Linked DNA regions of Callithrix jacchus. The protein of the gene in region 2 purifies or fractionates together with the protein of the main gene of each other region. This does not show direct contact. Links are inferred from orthologs where the notes say so. Each region holds a gene or a part of one and is shown on either strand. Other genes may lie near its edges.

Region 1 (6,953 bases), on a different chromosome or scaffold from region 2:
TGCCCACAGCTCTTTCCTGCTAAGCCTAAACATAGCTTCAGAAACTATGAACTTGGCAGTCTAGATATGAAATAAAATAGAGTTGGCAATCAAGTTGAAACTTATTTGCCACTCTTAACCTGGCTCTGTTGTTTCTAACTGGAATACCAGCACCACTTAGAAAACAGCTGCTCAAGTGAGAGAGAGGGATGCCCAAATGATTATTTCCATCAAGATTAGCCCAGTATTTTATCTTCCAGTCAGAAGTGAAAAGAGATACCCTTCTCCTAAACTACAGAAATAGTAATAAGAGAACAAGGAGGAACAGTGGTTGTAGGCATGACTTTCTGCTTTGGACCAGAGTACATAGGATTTTATGTCCTCCCACAGCCTAAATATCTGATATAGTATTGTTTTCCCATAGATACTGTGTATGTTTTCTTTTTTTTTTTTTTTGAGACGGAGTTTAGCTGTTGCTACCCAGGCTGGAGTGCAATGGCACAATCTTGGCTCACCGTAACCTCCGCCTCCTGGGTTCAAGTAATTCTCCCACCTCAGCCTCCCAAGTAGCTGGGACTACTGGCGCGTGCCACCATGCCCAGCTAATTTTTGTATTTTTAGTAGAGATGGGGTTTCACCTTGTTGACCAGGATGGTCTCGATCTCTTGACCTCGTGATCCACCCACCTCAGCCTCCCAAAGTGCTGGGATTATAGGTGTGAGCCACCGCCCTGGCCCACTGTGTATGTTTTCTTATCAAATAGGAAGAGGATAAGGAAATGATCAGGGTAATTCCAATACATTTCAATTCCACAGACATTACAAACAACTACATGACTTTATTCGACTAAGTTTTTTGCCTGATCTGATGCAAAGACCATGGATACAGTTAAGCAAGATTCTTTCTCATGGTCAATTTCTGACAGAAGCAAACTAACTCCATCAGAGAACAGGCTTCAAGCCCACATAATTACCCAAGGCGCCTTGCTCAAGGGAAAAGGGGAGGTTAAGCCAGTCTTGATTTTGTTCTGTCTATTCCCAGAAATGACCAGCAGGCTGACAGATTACCAGAGACTGTATGCAGCATTAGCTAGTCAAAAGAACAAATGATCAAGAAATCTAATTATTAAATCTAATTTTCTGAGAGTTTTGGCAAATCATTTAATACTCCTTGGCCTCAGTTTACCCATATGTAAAGTAGGTAGAATAATCTAAACCTGTCACAGGAACAACATAACATACTAAAATGTACAAAAGGTACCACCTGGCCTGTAAAAATCAGGAGTCCACATAGACTACCATTTCTCATTTCTGTTTGTGAATCTTCAAGACCTCAGAATGTCAGAAGTAATGATATCAGTAAGATGAAGAAGGCAACAGGGTCTATCTCTGGCTGAATACCATCCTCCCTCACCTGCACACTAAAAAAAAGCCCAAGAAGGCTCTTCCTTCTGTGACCTTGGGGGCAGACCACTGTACAATAAAGAGGAAATCATCTCTAACCCATTCACACCTCAGAAGGAGGCCACAAGGAAGAGCAAAGAAATGAATCTGGATGTACTTGGAGTTCTTTGGAAGAAAGGTGCAAGAGAAGTCAATCATCATTAGAGTTAACTACCATTTTCATGCATAATTATTACCACCCTGAACAAAATTCTAGCTTCCGGGGAGCTCCCTTCAGCTGCTTCCCCTATGTTCTCATGGGAGAAGCTAAAGCTTATATCACTTTTGCTCTTGGTTTCTTAACTCTGCCTTCAAAGATCAACCAGAGAGGAAACCTAAGTGCAGGATTTTACCCTAGAGACCCCAGGCCTCAGGCTCACCAGCTAGGAGGAACAGGGTAGTGAAACAAACTCTCTAGCTTTTCGAAAGATATTTGGACAACAGCAAACTCCCAATCATCTCTAGGATAGGTGAATAGAGTGAATTTGTGTTTTTCTGCATTTTAATTGTTGGGATGTGGCCACACACAGCGGTAATTGGAACAATGCAACTACCACCACGCAACTGATACTCTCAGCCTGAGTTTCCTAAAACAGGCCAGGCTGAGAGGGGGAACAGAACGGAAGCCATAAGGAATCAAACCAGGACACAAAAGAAGGCAAACCAGCTCCGCGAGGGGCCTCCTCTTTCTCAAGCAGGCATTGAAAAAAGTGTAAGAAGCCCGATCTTGCTGCCTTCCTTCCCCTTCCATTTTGTGTATCTGAAGGGTAGAGACAGCCCTGAACGTTCACTAAACAAGTTAAAACTTCTCAGTTTAACAACTGGCACAAGGGCTTAGCCCTTCACAGAGCAGCAGGCCGCTAGGCCCTCTCAGCAACCCCACCAGGCCTAACCCTCAGTCCAGGCTTTTCCTCCACCATCAGCCCCCTAAAATAAAGATCGGACCCCCACCCCATCTGCTACTGGATGGCAGTAACCCCTGACACTCCTGTTTCAGGGATGCGGAGGTTGTGCTGAACCTAGACAAGGTAGAATCAAGTCAGGCCAAGAGGGAGGAGAGTCACAAATCCCTTGGGGACCTTCCCCCAGGTCCCAGCCCTACACCTCTTGGGGAGACTGAAGGAAAACATGAGGAAGGCAGGGAGGTGCACGAACAGGTAAGTGGAGACCTTCCGCCTCTTCTTCCATATGGTTCTGGTGGGAATAGTGGTGACAAGTGGGAAACACCCCTCCCCCACCCCCATGAAGAAGCAAAAGGCTAGGCCCCTTCAATCTTCAAGCTATCCCTCTGTTGCCCTGCCTGTCCCCGCGGGGTGGGGCATGGGGCGTCCGCTGGTCCGCGGCGGGGGGGGGTCGCCAGGGCTTGCTCAGGGGGGCTGGCGTTTGCCTCTTCCCACTAGGTTCCATCATCTGGCCGCGGGAAGCGAACTCCCGACGCAAGGGATGGGGAGGGTCTGGGACTTAGCACTCCGCCACCCCCTCCCCCACCGGGTCCCGTGCTCTCCCCGCGGAGGCGGCCTGCGAGGCCCGGCCGCACAGGCGGCAGGACTGGGGGAGGGGAAAGAGGGAAGGAGGGAGGGACAGTTGAGGTGCCCGCCCCGAGGCCCCAGCGCCACCTGCCCTCTGCCACCTACCGCAGCTCCTCCAGCTCCCAGGGCCACGGCCGGAGCAGCTCTGAGCGCTCCGTTCGCCCCACGGTGCCCTTAAAAGGCGCTGGCGCGAACCAACGAGTCCCTGAGGAGAGTAGGGGGACAGCTCCGGCTAGCAGAATCCCCTCGAGCCACCCGCGGAGGCCGCAGCCCCGTGTGGTGTCTCTGTCAACGTCTTTCTCAGATAGCGCTGTCGGGAAGTAGCCTGACGCTTTGATTTAGGGATGGGGGTGGTTTCCTCACTAACGAGTCACCCCTTCAAAATCTCTCAGAAAGTGGACGGTCCCAGTCGGAGGCACATCTTGAAACCCGCGGGGGAGGCCCCGTCGGAAGAAGGTAAACAAAGGCATCGCCCCTGGCCTCCCTCCCTCCGTCGGCCCAACTACAGCCTCCCACGCGGTTCTGGCCGCGTCACGCAATTAGCCACAGTGCCCCATCACCTGCTCTGCTGCTCCGCCCTCCACGGCCACCTCTTCGAAGGAATTCCCCCTTCCCCCTGCAAAGGACCTGTCCGCCGCGTGAAGGCTGCTGGGAAGTGTGGTCCAAGCGCCGATCAGGGCCTGCTCTGAGTCCCAGGAGCCCCTCTTGCAGCTGCCGGATCGGCATGAATCTTAAAAACCCAGGACTTACAATGGTTGCGGGGCCGTTTCCACTCGGTTTTGTAATTTGCCCTCACCCAGAACACTTTGTAAAGCTCAGGATAGCCCAAGGCTGTTCACTCCCTATCCTCCCTCTCCGCCCCCCCCCCAGCAGGATGAGGTAATGGGATTGTGATTATGACATCATAGGCGGTTCAGTTGCTTGCGTTGGGTGGGGGGAGGTGCGGGGAGGTGGGGAGAAGTACGGTGGTTACACTTTCGTTAAACAGAAAGGGAGGGAGGAAACAGGCAGATGGTGAAAAGATGTGACGGCCCTACATTTCCACTTCAGGAAGACAAAACCACCTTTTATTAAGTCTCCACCACTACCACCACTTCCCACATGAGCCAAAGTTTAAGTCTTTTTTAGAGACTGAATGTAGACGTTAGTGTGTGAAGAGGTTGGGTTGATGGTTTCTGGCTCTTATGTAAATTTGAGTCTCAGCCTCACAGATGGTTCAGGGAGACAAGCAAAAAAGTGGATGAAGAAGAGGCTTTAAACAATGCCTTCGTGTTGTGATCTCTTTGTAATGCAAAGTTTTCGATTTTTTTTCAATTGATTGGAAAGTAGCAGTAATGCAAGTAATCTTCACTATTACACTTAGCAGAAAGTCCTCTGAAAGACATCTGTTCTCTGTAAATATTTTGTGCCTTACTCATGACTGGGACAGGTAAATAGCTGTGATCAGCTGGAAAGTAGAGCCAATGGTGGGGATCTTCCTCACAGAGCCAGGTAGATGAGGAAGCAGGAGCCACAAAGTCTGCAAACTGAAAAAGAGTAGAGGAAAAGTGAGGTACAATAATAACTGAGAAAATAGGGGTAGAGAGATTTACCTTGCACTGCCTATTTCCCCTTGGCAAAAGGAGCAGAGGCAGGCACCATGAAGTGTGGGACACATAGTTTCTAATAATTGCACTTATGTGCCAGACACCATGCTTTTTTTTTTTTTGCAGAAACAGGGTTTTGCTCTGTTGCTCAGGCTGGAATGCAGTGAGACCATCATAGCTAACTGCAGCTTGAACTTCTGGGCTCAAGCAGTCCTTCCCATCTCAGCCTCCTGAGTAGTTAGAACTACAGGGGTGTGCCACCATGCCCAGCATATTTATTTCTATTTTTGTAGAGAGAGGGTCCTTGCTATGTTGCCCAGGGTAGTCTGAAACTTCTGGCCTCAAATGATCTTCCCAGCTTGGCCTCACAAAGTGCTCAAATGGCCAGGCATGATGACTCACACCTGTAATCCCAGCACTTTGGGAAGCAAGGCAGACAGATCATTTGAGGTCAGGTGTTCCAGATCAGCCTGGCCAACATGGTGAAACCCCATCTCTACTAAAAAATACAAAAATTAGCTGGGCGTGGTGGTGCCCACATGTAATCCCAGCTACTCCGGAGGCTGAGGCAGGAGAATCGCTTGAACCCAGGAGGCAGAGGTTGCAGTGAGCTGAGATCATGCCACTGTACTTCAGCCTGGGCCACAAACAAAACAAAAGAACAAAAAAAAAAAAAAGTGCTGGGATTCCAGGTGTGAACCACCATACCTGGCCTACATACTTTGATGTATATTCTCATTTTTTTTTACAGTCATCCAATGAAACAAAACTTTCTCTTTGACAAAGGAAACAGCCCAGGAGATTAAGTGACTGCCCACGTGGTAGGTAGAGGTAGTATCAAAAAGCAGTCTAAAAGAGATTCAAAAAGCCCTTGCTTTTCACTGCTAAGCTCTTCCCCTTTTTATTATTAACCAAGCTTACTAATTACATGATTGAGTTGAAAGTAGGCATTGGCTCATTTGCAAAACATTGAAAGAAACTGAGACAAAAAAAAAAAACAAAAAACCCTGCAAGTTTCAAGCCTCATTTCAAAGGAAGGTTACATCCCCTTTCATCATCTATTAAATAGCCTCCCAGTGCAGCCTAACACTCCTACCCATAATGAAATCTCCTTATTCCACTTTTAATTCCCAACGATTTTTTTACTCATGTCCTGCTCTTCTTCCCTGCTGCCCCCTGTGTATTATTTTGTTCTTGAGCCACTGTTTTGAACAGCATCTTAATTGTGCCCTCATGGGCCAAACCCCATCTCTGACCCTGCCCCAATGGGTTTCAGCAGAGGATACTTTCCATCCATATTCTGAGGATTCCAGGGCCTGGAGCCGGTCATCCAGGAGGTCATCCAAAGGAGTGGAAACCATTGGCTCTAAGAGACTCTCCATTCCCTGCCTAGGAAGGAACAGCTGAGTCAGAGGAACATGCATTCAATTCAGACCCTCCCTTTTCATCCAGTGAAAGCTAAATCTCTGCAAAGTGGGGAGAAGTAGGGCTAAGCCTACCAGTCATGAAAAGAAAAAGGAATAGAAAACACACTCCTCAGCTCCTCTGCCCTGCAGAGGCTGACTGGGAGGGTCCCAGAAATGTAGGGCTCTTCTCCACTGCCTGATCTGGGTATCCCAGGAGCAACCGCTGTACCGCGGGTTCTTATTTGGTGTTTCAGGGTGAAGCCCAGGCTGCCGCTGTGCCCTGGCAACAACAAATATGGGTCAGATTGAGGTCAAGGTGAAGGAACACAGCTCACTGCTTATCACAGTGAATCAGGAGCCTAGATAGGGATTCCCCAAGGATGACATAGGATCAATGCCCTCAATCCAACAGAAAAAGTAAATCTTCAAATCAGATTAAACACCAAACTTCCCACCTCCCTAATATTCTTTCTTCTGGGAAGGATAAATTAGATATATTCCAACACCTTCAGAAATCAAGATATAAAAGACAATATTTGACTTACCTTTAAAATAATTCTACTCTTTCACAGTTTGTATGTATGTATGTAAATGTACATGTAATTAGCTAAGTATGTTGCAATTAGCTAAGCCAGCTGGAGTCACGATGAGATAGTAAAAATGTTTGGTAGGAAGCCCATTCAAAAGTGGGCAAAGGATATGAACAGACACTTTACGAAAGAAGACATATATGAGGCCAACAATCATATGAAAAAATGCTCATCGTCACTGGTCATCAGAGAGATGCAAATCAAAACCACATTGAGATACCATCTCACGCCAGTTAGAATGGCGATCATTAAAAAATCTGGAGACAACAGATGCTGGAGAGGATGTGGAGAAAAAGGAACACTTTTACACTGTTGGTGGGAGTGTAAATTAGTTCAACCATTGTGGAAGACAGTGTGGCGATTCCTCAAGGCCTTAGAAATAGAAATTCCATTTGACCCAGCAATACCATTACTGGGTATA
Region 2 (6,452 bases):
ACCAGCCTTTTCTACACTGACTTCCATTTCAGACCCTTCTCCATAGGAAGGAACTGATGGCCTCCTAAACAAGCAGCCATCAGCTTGGCCTTGCTACCCTTGAGAGAAGGACCCAGTAACTGTTATCAAACACACTGAAAAGCAGAGGAGAGTTCTAACCAAGAACTGCTTGCTTTACATCTCCAAGCAGTGCAATGCAAATCCAGTAGCAGATGCAGGAGAGTCAACTGCAAGCACATGGCCAGCCAGAGTCCCAAAATCAGAACCACAAAGTAAAAGGATAGAAGGGGAAATACTCTGACTCAAAAGGAGCCTTCTTCTTTGGGACAGTCCCTGTATGGTAAAGCAAAGAGCTGGACTTTCAGCAAACAATGATATCTCCTTCTGAAAAGGTAGACTTAATCAACAAAGCTTAAGGGCCCAGAAGAACAAAGTACACTGTTTTACTTCTCAAGCAGGTGAGAGCCAAAGAGAACAAAACCATCGTCCTTTAGGCCTGCTACTCTGCTAATCTCAGATGAGCAATTCAGAGGGACTTAAAAACCTTCAGTTACTGAGTACAGCCCAAGGAGCCAGGCAACTTTCCCCCCAGAGCATGCCTCAAACTCTGCCTGCTCCAAGGACTCTTCCAACAATGGAATCACACACAGGCCCCCTCCATGGAACTCATTCATGTAACGAAAAGACGCCTGCGGCCTGCAAGTCAACAGACAACCACAGGTTACAAGTCCAATACTGCTCAGAACCTAAACTGGCGGAGAGAAGGGTTGACAGGTGTGGGTAGAGCTCTTAACTGGCTGACCCTGGGGGCAATAATTCCTTTTCTTTCTTTTTTGCTCCTTAGCATTACTCACCACAGTATAACTCTTTTTTGCTATCTATCCACTTGACAGCCTGGGATTGCCACAGCCAATCAGTCCATCTCTCATGTGAGGTCTTGTTCAGGGTTGGAAGTACAGACTGGATGCCTCTCGGGAAACTCTCACCTCAGAGCACTCAATCCAAAGAGCACCCTATATAATATATGGCCAGGCACAGTACACTCAACCAACAGAAACACCGAAGTTCAACTCAGAGAATTTCAACTCATTCTTGTCGATCATTAAAAAGACACTAAGTGGAATGGCCTGGGGCTTATATTTGAAGTAAAAAACAGACTCTGAAAGTAGGTATGGAAATATGCTTGACTTTTTCAGCTTCCTGAAAGGATTCCCCTCAAGTCAGGTACCCTGAGAGCCTGTCTCTCTCACCTCTACCATGCTCCCAGTGGGAACCAATGGGGCTGGACAGTGGTGCTTTAGGGTAAACAGAGGTTTCCTACGTCTGTTTAGAAGCCCAGAATGCCCTTAAGAAGAGCCAGGCTAAGAAAGATGTTGAGGAGTCAGTTGACTTCAGAGCACCAAGGTGGTTTGGCCTCCCGGTCAGGTATGTACTACTCAGGCAGTGACTCAAGAAGGCAAACTGCTCATGGGGCCAGGGGCCCAGTACCAGCTCCAGGCACTGAGGGAAGAGAAGAAGGGGCACATAGGAAGGACTATAAGACAAATAAATGAACCAGGAAGAGTAAAATTCTTTTCATAAAAAAATTAGCCTGATAAATATACAAAGTTGAAATTTGTTAAACACACTGATACTAGGAGAAAGGACAAACTGTTATTTGTTCCCACGTAAGTGCTAACAGGAACATGGACATGGAAACATGCGTTGCTGCCTTGGGCAGCAAACAGACAGAGACACCTGGGCAGAGGAATAGACACAGCCAGTACATGAACTGCTCCTCAACGCAACGCCTGACAAACAAATATACACACATTTTTAATTGAGGAACAAAACAAGAAGAGGAAAGAAGAGAAAATTTTAAAATTCAGCCCTGGGCTGAGGAGGTGCCACACAGCACTGAGTCTGCCACAGAGGGCGATGGGGTGACTGGCCAGGAACTCCTAGAGCAGCTTCTGGTAACAGTGGGTGCAAAGCAACGAAAGACATACTGGCCACTGGAAACATGTTTCTTCTTACTTTGGGGTGGGGCAGAGGCAGGAAACACACAAGGCCCTGCCTCGTGCGCACAGCGCCACCAACATTACACTCTGAGTATCTCCAGGCAGTTGTTGTAGCAGATGGCGATCCAGTCGGGCTGAGTTGATGCCCACTGCACATTGTTGATCTCTCCTTCAGCTGTGTAGGCCAGGATAGGGTCCTCAATTGCTCGGGGCATTTGCTGGATGTCCCAGATGAGAGCCTGGTGGTCATCCGCTAGAGACAAAGAAAGCCAGCAAGCAAGGTCACAACTGAGGCAATGGGGATGATGATCCCTGTATTTCAGGAGCAAGTCACAGTTTACAAAGCAGTTGATCACCAAAACTCCGTGATGGAGGTTCTATTTTAAACCCCCATTTTATCGATGAAGAAAACAAGATTCAGAAATGTTAAGGCACTTGTCCCAAATCACACAGCTGTGCAGCCAGTGAGCAGCAGAGCCAGAACTCAAGTCTAGGCCTTGACTCCATCTTGCAGGTGTCCCTAGGCTCTATCCACTGCACTAATGAGCCCTTCTCACCTGGGTCAGGTATCAGGAGTGGACCAGGGGATACAAAACATGTCATTTGCAGCCACTTAAAATACTGGAGTTATAAGATCCTTCTCTGATCATTCAATATAATGAGAAGGTTTCTTCCCATTTATACTTCAATGAGGTATTATAGAGAAAGAAGACTGATAAAGTAGTGTTGATATGTGCTGTTAAAAAATTATTTCCTGGCTAGGCCTGGTGGCTCACACCTGTAATCCCAGGACTTTGGGAGGCTGAGGCAGGTGGACCACCTGGGGCCAGGAGTGGCCAACATGGTGAAACCCCGTCTCTACTAAAAAATACAAAAAATTAGCTGGGCATGGTGGTGCGTGCCAGTAATCCCAGCTACTCAGGAGGCTGAGGCAGGAGAACTGCCTGAACCCAGGATGCAGAGGTTGCGGTGAGCTGAGATTGCGCCATTGCACTCCAGCCTGGGTAACAAGAGTGAAACTCTGTCTCAAAAAAAAAAAAAAATATATATATATACAAATAAACCAGGCATGGTGGTGCACACCTGTAATCCCAGTTACTCAGGTGGCTGAGAATCACTTAAACGGGAGGCAGAGATTGCAGTGAGCCAAGATCATGTCATTGTACTCAAGTCTGTGCGACAGAGTAAGACTCCACCTCAAAAAATAAAATAAAATAAATAAATAAAGCCAAGAAAATATCTATGGGAAACACCAGAAAGAAGACAATCACCTTAAATATATAAAAGCACGTGAAAAATGACTAGAAGGAAATATATCAAAATGAGAATGGTGGCAATACTAAGATGGCAAGGTTATGTTTACTTTTCTCTAGTTCTGTAATATGTTCATATTACTTTTTGTTTGTTTGTTTGAGATAGAGTCTTGTTCTGTCACCCTGGCTGGAGTGCAATAGTGTGATCTTGGCTCACTGTAACCAATGCCTCCTGGGGTCTTCTGCCTCAGCCGCCTAAGTAGCTGAGAATTCAGGCGCACCAGCACAACCAGCTAATTTTTGTGTTTTTAGTAGAGACAGGTTTTACCATGTTGACCAGGCTGAACCTGAACTCGTGACCTCAGATGATCCACCTGCCTCAGCCTTCTAAAGTGCTGGGATTACGGGCATGAGTCACCGCACCCAGCTTACTTTTATAATCAAAATAGTAAGTTAATTTTAAAAAAAGCAAAAAAAAGGCAATGGTCTTCAGAGCTGCAGTTTACCCTGACTCTGCCATGCATTCTGATGAAAGCTGGTCTTAGATACACAGGGAATCTGAATAAACTAAGCCTTAATAGGCCAGGCTAATTATGGGCAATACTGGTATTCTACCGAGACCGCATAGTCTGGGCCAGGTGCAAGATCCCTCTCCCAGGGACAGTGTATACCAAAAGATCAGGGTATTGCCCTCTAAAGCACTAAGTTCCTTATCCTCAGTGCTCAACTGAGCACACTTGAACAACAGCTCCTTTGGTTGAAGGGGCTCAAGGCAGGTGCAACACACTAAATGACAGAGAGCAGGGCAAAGGCAGCAGTCAGGAGCAGAAAATGCAGCTTCTAAGGGGCCAGTCCTGCTTTCCATGAATGTTAGATGATACCTTTTCTGTTTCTTCCATCCCTCCCTGTCCACACCCCTAAAAAAATAAGAGGGCAATAACGAAGAAGACAGACCATAACCTGAGGTATATAAGGCGGCAGCATGCCCCCAACTGCTCTTCAAGAAGACATACAGGCATGAGCCCAGGGCCAAAATCAGGAGAAGCTTCATGTCTTCAAAATAATGCTCAAATGGCAGAAAAACACCAAAGTACATTGCTTCTTGGGCTTCATAACAAACCTTGTCCATTATAAGGATACTGATTAGCGAGGAGAAGAAAAATGCACACTAAAAAAGTTAAGGAGCAAAACACCACAAAGCTCGGACAGAATCCCATCGTGCAAAAGGAAGATGTATAGAATTGTCTTTAGGGGTATGGATGTACACTCCCGAATGTATACCAAAAGGGTCCGGAAGGAGACACATGAACTGTTGATAGAGGTCATCTATGCAGAGTGGGATGGAGGCAGAAATAATATAGGAAGGAGAAACAATGACTTTCACCTTAAACATGCCTCTGTACTGTTTTCATTTTAAATAACAGATTGGCATTCATTATAGAATAAAAGTGCACTGACAACCAGCATATTTTTCTTTTCTTTTTAAAAAATTTATGTTAGAGGCAGGGTCTTGCTTGGTTGCCCAGGCTGGAGTGCAGTGGCACAATCATAGCTCACTATAACCTCAAACTCCTGGGCTCAAGGGATCCTCTCACCTCAGCCTCTAAGTAGCTGAGACTACAGGAATTCACTACCACACCCAGATAATTTTTTAACTTTTTGTAAAGAGGTCTCACTATACTGCTCAGGCTGATCTCAAACTCCTGGCCTCATGCAATCCTCCCACCTCAGCCTCCTAAAATGCTACAATTACAGGCCTGAGATGCTATGCCTGGCCCAACATATTTTTAAGAGGTATTGCTTTTATTTATTTATTTATTTGTTTGGAGATGGAGTCTTGCTCTGTCACCCCGGCTGGAGGGCAGTGGCATAATCTCAGGTCACTGCAACCTCCACCTCCTGGGTTCAAGCAGTTCTCCTGCCTCAGCTTCCCAAGTAGCTTGGACTACAGGTGTGTGCTGCCATGCCCAGCTAATTATTTTTGTATTTTTAGTAGAGACAGGGTTTCACTATGCTTGTCAGGCTGGTCACAAACTCCTGACTTCAGGTGACCCACCCACCTCAGCCTCCCAAAGTGCTGGGATTACAGGTGTGAGCCACTGTGCCCAGTGAGTAAGGGGTACTCTCTTTGGTCTGGGAAATAGTGAAATGAAAACCACAAGTCACACACTGCAACCAGGGAAAGTTCTGTGGGGCCCTCCAATGTATTCAGGGCTCACTGTGGGTTTGTTATAGTGATACGTGAAAGGTCCCATGGATATGTTGATCTTCACAGTCCCAAAGATTCTGTTACATCCACGAGGGATACCTCCTTTTCCTCATATTCCTGGAATTGAGTCCTCTGTGCCACCCAGATTTTAGGGGGACAGTACAAGGCACAGGCCTATAACTGACACATGATGTAAATCATATATGGAAGATGCTCTGATGTCCATGAGGGTACAAGATCGTCTAAAAATCTGTACTGCTTGAATTTCACAAGTGTGGAGAGGCTCTGACTAGTCACTTTTTATAAACCTCTTAAGACTGTCCTTAGAAAACAGTAACAATTACAATTCTAAGGAGCCAAGAGGACAGATTTCCTCCATCCCTGCCAGATTCCTCTCCCCTACTGTGATTACCTGCAGTGCAGATGTGACAGGATGAATGTGGGGCCCAAGCAATGCCATTGACACATGCTCGATGGTTGTTTAACCTGGCGACAGGTGTGCAGGGAACCCGGACATCTAGAATCACCACCTGCGGAAATAACAAAGTAAAAGGCCTGGGATCATCAGAGTTTCACAGAAAGAAGCAAAAAATACTATCCACACACAAAAAATCTTTTTAGGCATAACTCTTCTATTTGTGGATTTAAAGAACACTAGAGGTCTGGGTGCAGTGGCTCACACCAGTAATCCCTGCACTTTGGGAGGCTGAGGTGGGTGAATCACAAGGTCAGGAGTTTGAGACCAGCCTAAGCAACATGGTAAAACCCCATCTCTACTAAAAATACAGATAGAGACTATAAACTTGTGTCCTTTGTCATCTTTTCCCTTAATTCTGTGGAAATCCTGTCTCTCTTCTTATTTTATTTCTTATTTATTTATTTATTTATTTATTTTTGAGATGGAGTCTCACACTGTTGTCCTGGCTGGAGTGCAGTGATGTGATCCTGGCTCACTGCAACCTCTGCCTCCCGGGTTCAAGCAATTCTGCC
Region 3 (6,996 bases), on a different chromosome or scaffold from region 2:
TAAACCTTGTCCCCTTCTCAACGGGTGGACTTAAAAATTAAAAATAGTTAAGTGTTCCTTTTAAAGAACAAAATAAGGCAAATGAGGTTTTGGAATAGAATTTTTTCCTTTTTTTTTTGTTTTCTTCCAGAATACATACAAAAAAATACCCATTCTCTTCGATGGTATACACCTTAAAAATAATTGCAATTTGAAATCAGAGCTGACAAATTGTGACTTTTTTTTTCATTTTTTGTAACAAACATGCATGTAAATTTGTGTTTCAATCAGACATTAAATAACGTACAATACAATCATAGCAATTTTAAAGTAACATTAAAGAGAAGACCTCTAGTTCTGTGGCGGTTTTGCTTTTATTTATAATCTACAAGGGATGGGAGGGTTTGTTTTCCACATTTTTACCCTCACGTTTTAAATTGTTTCCCTCCTCCTTTTTACCTACAGAGCTCAAACTAAATAATGCACTTTTGAACCACGGGTCCGCTTGGAGCTAACATAAATAAATACCAGTGTCCACCGATGCAGTCCTCAGATGAACACTTTCTCAATTATTTTTTCCTTCTTTTTCTATAAAAAGTCAAATGATATTTTTTCAACTTTTATAAAGTTTGGGTGGGGAAGTGAGAGGAGGGGAGAAAGGGAGTCCCACCGGGTTTCGGTTGCTGCTGTGGGGTAGATAGATATGGTATATATTTCTTTCCTTTCGTGGCTTGAGTCCTCCCCACGCGCGGGTGTCAGCAGCCTGGGCCATGATCCCGCCCCTCCCTGGGCTCCTCCCCTCCTCCAACTCCTTCCTCTCCCTCGCTAGCCCTCCCGGCCCCTTCACTGATACCCCAGTGCCGAGGCGGTGGTCAGTCTCTGTCCGTAGAGGGCGTAGGGGGAGTAGTAGGGTCCGGTGGCGGCGGGCACCGGCACAGGGGCACCGGGCGTGGGGAGCGGGCTCTTGGAGTAGGGGTGGTAGCGGCTACTGAGTCCCAGCGCGTGGTGGGGGCTGCGCAGCGCCAGCGTCCCAGGACTGCCCGGCGCGCCGGAGGTGGGGATGTGCATGTGGCAAGCCATGGCGGCCGCGGCGGCGCTGGCCAGAGACGACGAGCTGGGGTAGCCCGACAGCAGTTTGTCTGTCCCAGGGAAGGCCGTATGGGTCCGCAAGTGGCTCAGCAGCTCTTCGGACGTGGCGAAGCGCTTGTCGCATGGCCCGTTGGCCGACACCCAGTTGCAGATGTGGGGGAGCGGGTCGTTAGGGAGCATAAAGCCGTAGGGGTAGAGGGGGTGGCCGGCCAGGGAGGGTGGTGTGGCGCCAGCAGCCGCGGCGGCCGTTAGCGAGGAGTGCACACCGTGCAGCGGGTGAGTGGGGTACACCAGCGGGTATCCAGACTTCAGCGCAGCGGCCGCAGCGGCCGGATCATGTGCGCACGAAGCGCTGGCTGCCGCCGCCCCTGCCAGGTGGCTGGCGCAGTGGTAGCTGAGGCAGTACGGGTCCCGGCACAAACTGGCTGTCATCACCGACGGCGGAGACGCCCCAGCCAAGGGGCTGGAGCCGGCCGGCTTACTGCAGCCCAGAGACCCAGCCGCGGCCGCCGCCAGCTGTGCCCCCACCAGGCTGCCCGGCTTGGTGGGGTCGAGTGCCACGCCATGTGGCAGGAACTGGGGCGGGTAGCCGGCGTAGGCCCCGGCCAGGCTGCCTGGGTAGGTCATGCCCGCGGGAGGCAAAGGAAACACTGTCTGGCCTGGCTTGTAGGGTGAGACGGGCGCCACCAGCCCAGAGCCCAGCACCGAGGAGGAGGTGGGCGCGCTGGGGCCGGAGCCAGAGCTCGAGCCAGATGAACCGCCGCAGTCCGAGCCCAGAGCCTTGCCCCCTGGGCCCCCATCAGGGTGCTGGTTCACGTCCACATTAATCCCGCCGCCGCAGCTAATCCGGCCGTGCGCCAGCCCTGTGGGTCCCCCTTCGGCCGAGGTGCCCCCGGCGCCCTTGCCGCCGCCGCCCACGTCGGTGTCTTTCTTGTCGTCCTTGCCCTCCGGGGCACCCCCGGCCGAGGGCAGCATACCTCCTGGGGAGCAGGCCGAGGCGCTGGAGCTCGGGCTGCCTGTCCTGGGCGTGAATGGCTGGCAGGTGGCGCTCGGTACCCGGAATCCCGACTTCTCCGCCGAAACGCCCCCGCCGCCGCCGCCCCCGCCGCCGCCCCCGCCGCCTCCACCGCCGCCTCCCGGCTCCTTCTTATCCGAGCCAGGTTTGGAGTACGGCTTGAAACTCGACTTGTCCTCCACGCCGATGTCGCTCAGCTTGAGGGGGCCCGATTTGGCGTCCTTGTCGCCCGCGGCGCTGCCGCCGGCACCGCCCGCGCCGCCCCCGTTGGAGGCGACCGAGGACAGTTTGGAGGAGGGCGAGGGGTCGGGCTTCCCAATCTGCGAACATGTTTGGGCCAACAGCGCCAGAGGGCTCTTCTTGGCATCGAGCTGCGGGGTCAGATGATGGGGGGGGTCACACAGAGAAAGAAGTGGAAACCCTTTAGAATCTGGCTTCTGGGGTTCAAATGCCTCTCTGCAACAGCCCACGAAGATCTTCCCAGCCCCGAGGCGCAATTCTAGGCGGCACCCCCTCTTCAACACCCAGTCGCAAACATTCTCGCCCTTGGGAAAGGCAGCAGATTCCCCCCTCCCCCCACCCCTCCCAGCAGCATCTTTCCTGCCCTCTCTGAACGCTAACTGGATTTTTAAAAAGCAAAATGTTTTTGGTTTTTGGTTCCTAGACCCACAACTGTACCCCCTCTCCACAAACAATCCCTAATTTTTCAGAGTAAGGGCTTGGACGGCTGGTGCCTCCGAGGCTGTGTGCACACACTGGCTCCCGGCGAGCCGGAGGACGGCGACTTTGGAATCGTATTTCAGACCTCTGCCTGCCTTCAGTGCCGAGTGAGGGGGCCTGGGTCGGGTTAGGGCTTTCATATCAAAAGGAGAAACAAGTATTGGCAGCCTTGCTCCCTAGCATTCACACCCCATTCCACCACCTCCCTCTTTTCCGCCCTAGTTTTGAGGTACGGAAGCAGTAGCCTTGTCCCCCATCCAGGAGCTGAATCACTCCGACCCCCCCACCCCCGCCCAGATCCAGAGAAAAAGAAAGCTTTAGGGTGGCTGCCAGGGTAGTGGTCCCAGCGCGATCCAGAGAGAGGGTCCTTACCTCGATAGGGCTGACGGGCGTGGAAGGCAGGGGCTGCAGGTACTCGGGGTGCAAAATGTGGCCAGTCCGTGCCGTCAGCATCTTCAGCACCTTGATTGGCAGGCGGCTGGCCTGGCGCAGGGGGTCAGAGGGGGGCACGGCGTGCACAAAAGGCTTGGTGCTGCCGGCCGGGGACGAGCCTGGACCGGGGCCGGAGCTATTTCCAGAGAGCGCGCTAGTCCAGGCAGGGTCTGCACCGCTGCCGCCGCCGCCGCCGCTGTGCTTACTGCTTCTTAGGGCAGAAAGCGAGGGCGCTGTGCTCATGACCCACCCGCGCGCATGGGAGCAGCGGGGGGGAGGGCTCCTGGAGGCGCGGGGCGGGCTCGGGGCTGCGCGCTCGCCCGGGGAGCAGGAGCAGCAGGAGGAGGAGGAGCTGGCTCGGCGGCCGCGGGCGCCCAGCGCGCCTTCTCGGCGCCTGGAGCCAGACGCGAGTAATCCTGGGTGGCCCGCAACGGAGCCGTGGCCGGGCTGGGGGAGCCGGCTGGAGTGCCGGAGTGCCGGAGTGCCGGGCTGCTCCCCTGCGCTGCGCTCCCGCGGCCCCGCGCCGGCGCTGCGCTCTGCGATGTGAGCTGCTGCGTGTCCAGCCGGGGCTCTGGCGAGGAAACTCACTTCAAAAGCAGCTGCACCGAGGGGGAGATTAAAGCCTTTGCCGCCTTCCAATCAAATGGGAGCCCGAGGTGATTGGAGGGTCAAGGGGATGTGACGCGTCCCGCGCTGCCTCTGCCGCCGCCGCCAGGACTCTCAGAGCTGGTTTTAATGGGCAGCTCCCTCCTCGCCGCCCCCCTGTGTGTCCCCTCCCTCGATTTCGCTCCGAGGACGAGATGGACATCTATTCTACGTTTGCCATCCGCCGCCTCCCTCTTTTTTTCTCCTCGTCGTTCTTCCTTTCCCCACCTCTAAAATAAACTGAAACCTTCTTTTGGAGGGGGGTGAGCGTGAGGAACAGACTGCGGGGGTGTCCAGAAGGAGCACCGGTGAGAGTGTGGACACCAGCCGGACTGTCAACTCGAGGGACGCAGGGAATCCACACACCCAGTGTTTTTTCTTCCGCAGTAATCGAGATCCCGCCCGACGCAGCGCAGCGCGGCCACCAGGGTAAGGCAAGGTGGGGAACCGGAGCTGGAGGAAGCCTGCCCGCCCGCTCTGTTTCCTCAGATTCTGCGGCAGAGAAACCAGAAACTAGATGGGCAGTCGCAGCGGCGGCGGCTCCACAGCGCGAGGCGCGCCGGGCTCTCCGCCCTTCCCGGCCACGTGACGCCCGGGGACGCGTAGATTGGGGCAGCAGCGGGGGTCACATGTTTCCTCTGTTTCACACTCAGTCTCCCCCCCCCAACCCCCCATTCTTACTCTCCCCTTCCATACTCTTTTCCTCCCTCCCCCCGTTCTTTGGGCATCTCCACCCCTCCATCAATTGTCAATGTTCCTCGACCGCAATCAATCAGTTATTTGTCAGCTCTTGTCAATCCGCCCGTGATTTATGTCAGCTTTTGTTGCTGATTACAAGGCTGGTGCGACTTGAAGGGAAAAAGAAGAGGGAGAGAGAGATGAAGAGGAAGGAAGAGACCGAGAGGGAACTGGAGGATGGGAAAAGAGGAGCGGCCTCCTGGGATGAGGAGTGGGGTGGGGGCTCTAAGAAAAAGAATGAAAGAGGGGAAAGAGGCGGTCTGTGTCAGGAAAATGAATAGTGAGAGTAAAGTGCGCAGGTGCGCCCAGGGCGCACGCAGGCCTGGATTGAGCGCCTGCCTTCTCGGTGTCGGAGAGACACCCACCTCTGGGGGCTTCGGTCTCTTGGGGTCGCGGAGTTCGGGCGCGGCTCCAGGTACCCGAGACCAGCGGCTGCAACCTCTAACACGGGAGATTTCCCGCCACCCCACCCCGCCGCCACTAGTCCCCGGGGGGCGTGTAGCGTGCGGAGGTCAGGCTGCCACCCTCGGTAGTTCTCTAACCCCAAACTCGGAGACTTCTAAGAGCCACACCAGCAATGAACCTCGAGTCCTGGAGGTCAATGGTGGGGTAAACCTCGCCTCAATTCTTTGACATCCTCAGTCGTAACCAGGGCTGAGAGGCTGCGGAGAAGAGGCCGGGCGGTGTGTGTGGGGGAGAAACGTCTCAGGCTCACTCTTTCCCCCTTCCGACCTTCCCTCACCTCCCGCCCCGCGCTATCCCCGCAGGCTGGGGAGCCAGGGTCACTCGGGGCTGCTCTCTCGAATTTATTCGGAACGCCGCGTCGGAACGACCTGCGCGGGGAGAGCCGGGGGAAGGAGCAAAAAAAGGAGGGGGCGGCTGCCTGTGGAAACGCGGGTTCTTCCAAGGAAGCAGAGAGGGACTGCCGCGTTCCCCTCGATTTGCACCGTCACTCGGGTTTGGAAAGAAGAGGGGAGGCGCTTGCGCGTGCCACCGCGTACCTGGACCTGGGTGCCCAGTGTGTATGCATGCCTGTGGCGCTGCGTAAGTTCTCGGGGCTTTGACAGTGTCCAGAGCGGGTTCGAGAGTCCCCTCCAGAAACTCGCAGAAATTAGAGCGGGTGGTTGGGTGAGGAGGACACACCCCCTTCCTCGGAACCACTAGGAAGACTTTGAATCTCCCTCCTCCGCTTTTCCGCCTCGGCTCTTCCTTTGTTGTCAAGTCCTTTTGATAAATGGTGGGGCTGGGAGCTCTGGGAGCCGGGAGCCGGGAGCCAGTCTGTGCCCGCGAGGTGGGTGGGGGCCGAGCCTGGAAACCTGGTTACAACCGGCGCGCAGCCGGGGCTGAGCCGGGTACTCGCGGGGGTCAGGTCTGGAACCTGCCCTCGGCGTGCTCACTCTCTCCCCTCGGCCCATCTCACTCCCCTCCCCCACCTCACTCCTCCACCCCGTTTCTTTCTCAGTCTCATTCCGCACGGGTACCAAGAACTTTCTGGGGTGAGTTTTAGAATTTCCTCCTAGGCATTCTTTTTCCGCGTTTGGATTTTGTCCCTTGGCTCTTTAGGCTGGTAAACTTTATAAGATGGTAACTTTACTGAAGCTCATTTGGAGAGAAGAGGGGAGTGAGGTGGTCTGTATTTGGGGCCGGTGTTTGTCAGTGTAAGAGCACACCTGCATTCAAGAGAGTTTGTAGTGTCCGTGCGACATCTGAGGAAGGTGAGTCCGCGAGCGGGTGGCGAGGCCCCACGCTGTACAGGTTGTCTGAATGGTCTCCCGGGAGCGAGTCCCAGGTGTTCATTTCGGAGGGCGGGATACTCCTACGCTGTCCCTGTGGGGCAGCGTGTCTGTGAAGCCGCTCTTATCCTTCGCGTGTGTTAGTGTCTGCCTGGTCACTGAGTGCGCGGCCTTCTAGATGTCGACTCAACCAACGGCAGTGTTCCCAACGCCGCGAGCCCAGCTTTGGGCCGCTATCACTGCGACCTCCCCGCGAGGCCCGGGCACTGAAATTCTGGGGGCTGCGGCAGGGCTGGGGGTGACAGAGCCAAGGGCGTCCCTCCCCAGCCCCGAGACGCAGCTCTGCCCCCTTTCCTCTAATTCCAGCGGCTTTCTTATTACGCCGGCGGCTCGGGGAAGGCAGCCCCAGCACCTGAATCCTAGGGGAGCCGTGGAGTGCCTTCCTGCGTCCCTTGGTGTGGCCGCACACGCTTGTGGGGCTGTGCTGTGCTGCGTGGGCGCGGGTCGTGGTCAGCGTGCGTTCGCTTTTCTCAAAACTCCACTCCGAGGGTCCGAGCGCATGGGGGCGCCTGGGGGCCTGTGCGCCCGGGGCTTTTGGGAGGCGCCAGCGTCGGAGCCTGCGCACCTCGCGCTGGAGGCCAAACC

The links. The genes of interacting proteins can lie anywhere in the genome.
Region 1: the proteins of DCAF7 (region 2) and FAM53C purify together in Homo sapiens (affinity purification with mass spectrometry; 3 studies listed by BioGRID and IntAct, counting the BioPlex papers as one, with this or other methods). This does not show direct contact. The link is inferred for Callithrix jacchus from reciprocal best matches to the Homo sapiens genes DCAF7 and FAM53C.
Region 3: the proteins of DCAF7 (region 2) and ZNF503 purify together in Homo sapiens (affinity purification with mass spectrometry; 4 studies listed by BioGRID and IntAct, counting the BioPlex papers as one, with this or other methods). This does not show direct contact. The link is inferred for Callithrix jacchus from reciprocal best matches to the Homo sapiens genes DCAF7 and ZNF503.

Annotation. Positions count from the first base shown.
Region 1 is NC_133503.1:36,752,004-36,758,956, reverse strand, and holds the start of FAM53C (protein FAM53C), read right to left. Parts: upstream 3,827-6,953; 5' UTR 3,701-3,826; intron 3,547-3,700; exon of another isoform or gene 3,511-3,546; intron 3,407-3,510; exon of another isoform or gene 3,341-3,406; intron 3,098-3,340; exon of another isoform or gene 3,056-3,097; intron 2,579-3,055; exon of another isoform or gene 2,452-2,578; intron 1-2,451.
Region 2 is NC_133506.1:88,862,304-88,868,755, reverse strand, and holds part of DCAF7 (DDB1- and CUL4-associated factor 7), read right to left. Parts: intron 5,993-6,452; coding exon 5,875-5,992; intron 2,254-5,874; coding exon 2,081-2,253; 3' UTR 1-2,080. UniProt on the Homo sapiens protein: Involved in craniofacial development. Acts upstream of the EDN1 pathway and is required for formation of the upper jaw equivalent, the palatoquadrate. The activity required for EDN1 pathway function differs between the first and second arches.
Region 3 is NC_133513.1:54,763,160-54,770,155, reverse strand, and holds ZNF503 (zinc finger protein 503), read right to left. Parts: upstream 3,827-6,996; 5' UTR 3,479-3,826; coding exon 3,176-3,478; intron 2,455-3,175; coding exon 823-2,454; 3' UTR 88-822; downstream 1-87. Other genes in the region: uncharacterized protein LOC144578661, read left to right, coding at 5,853-6,114. UniProt on the Homo sapiens protein: May function as a transcriptional repressor.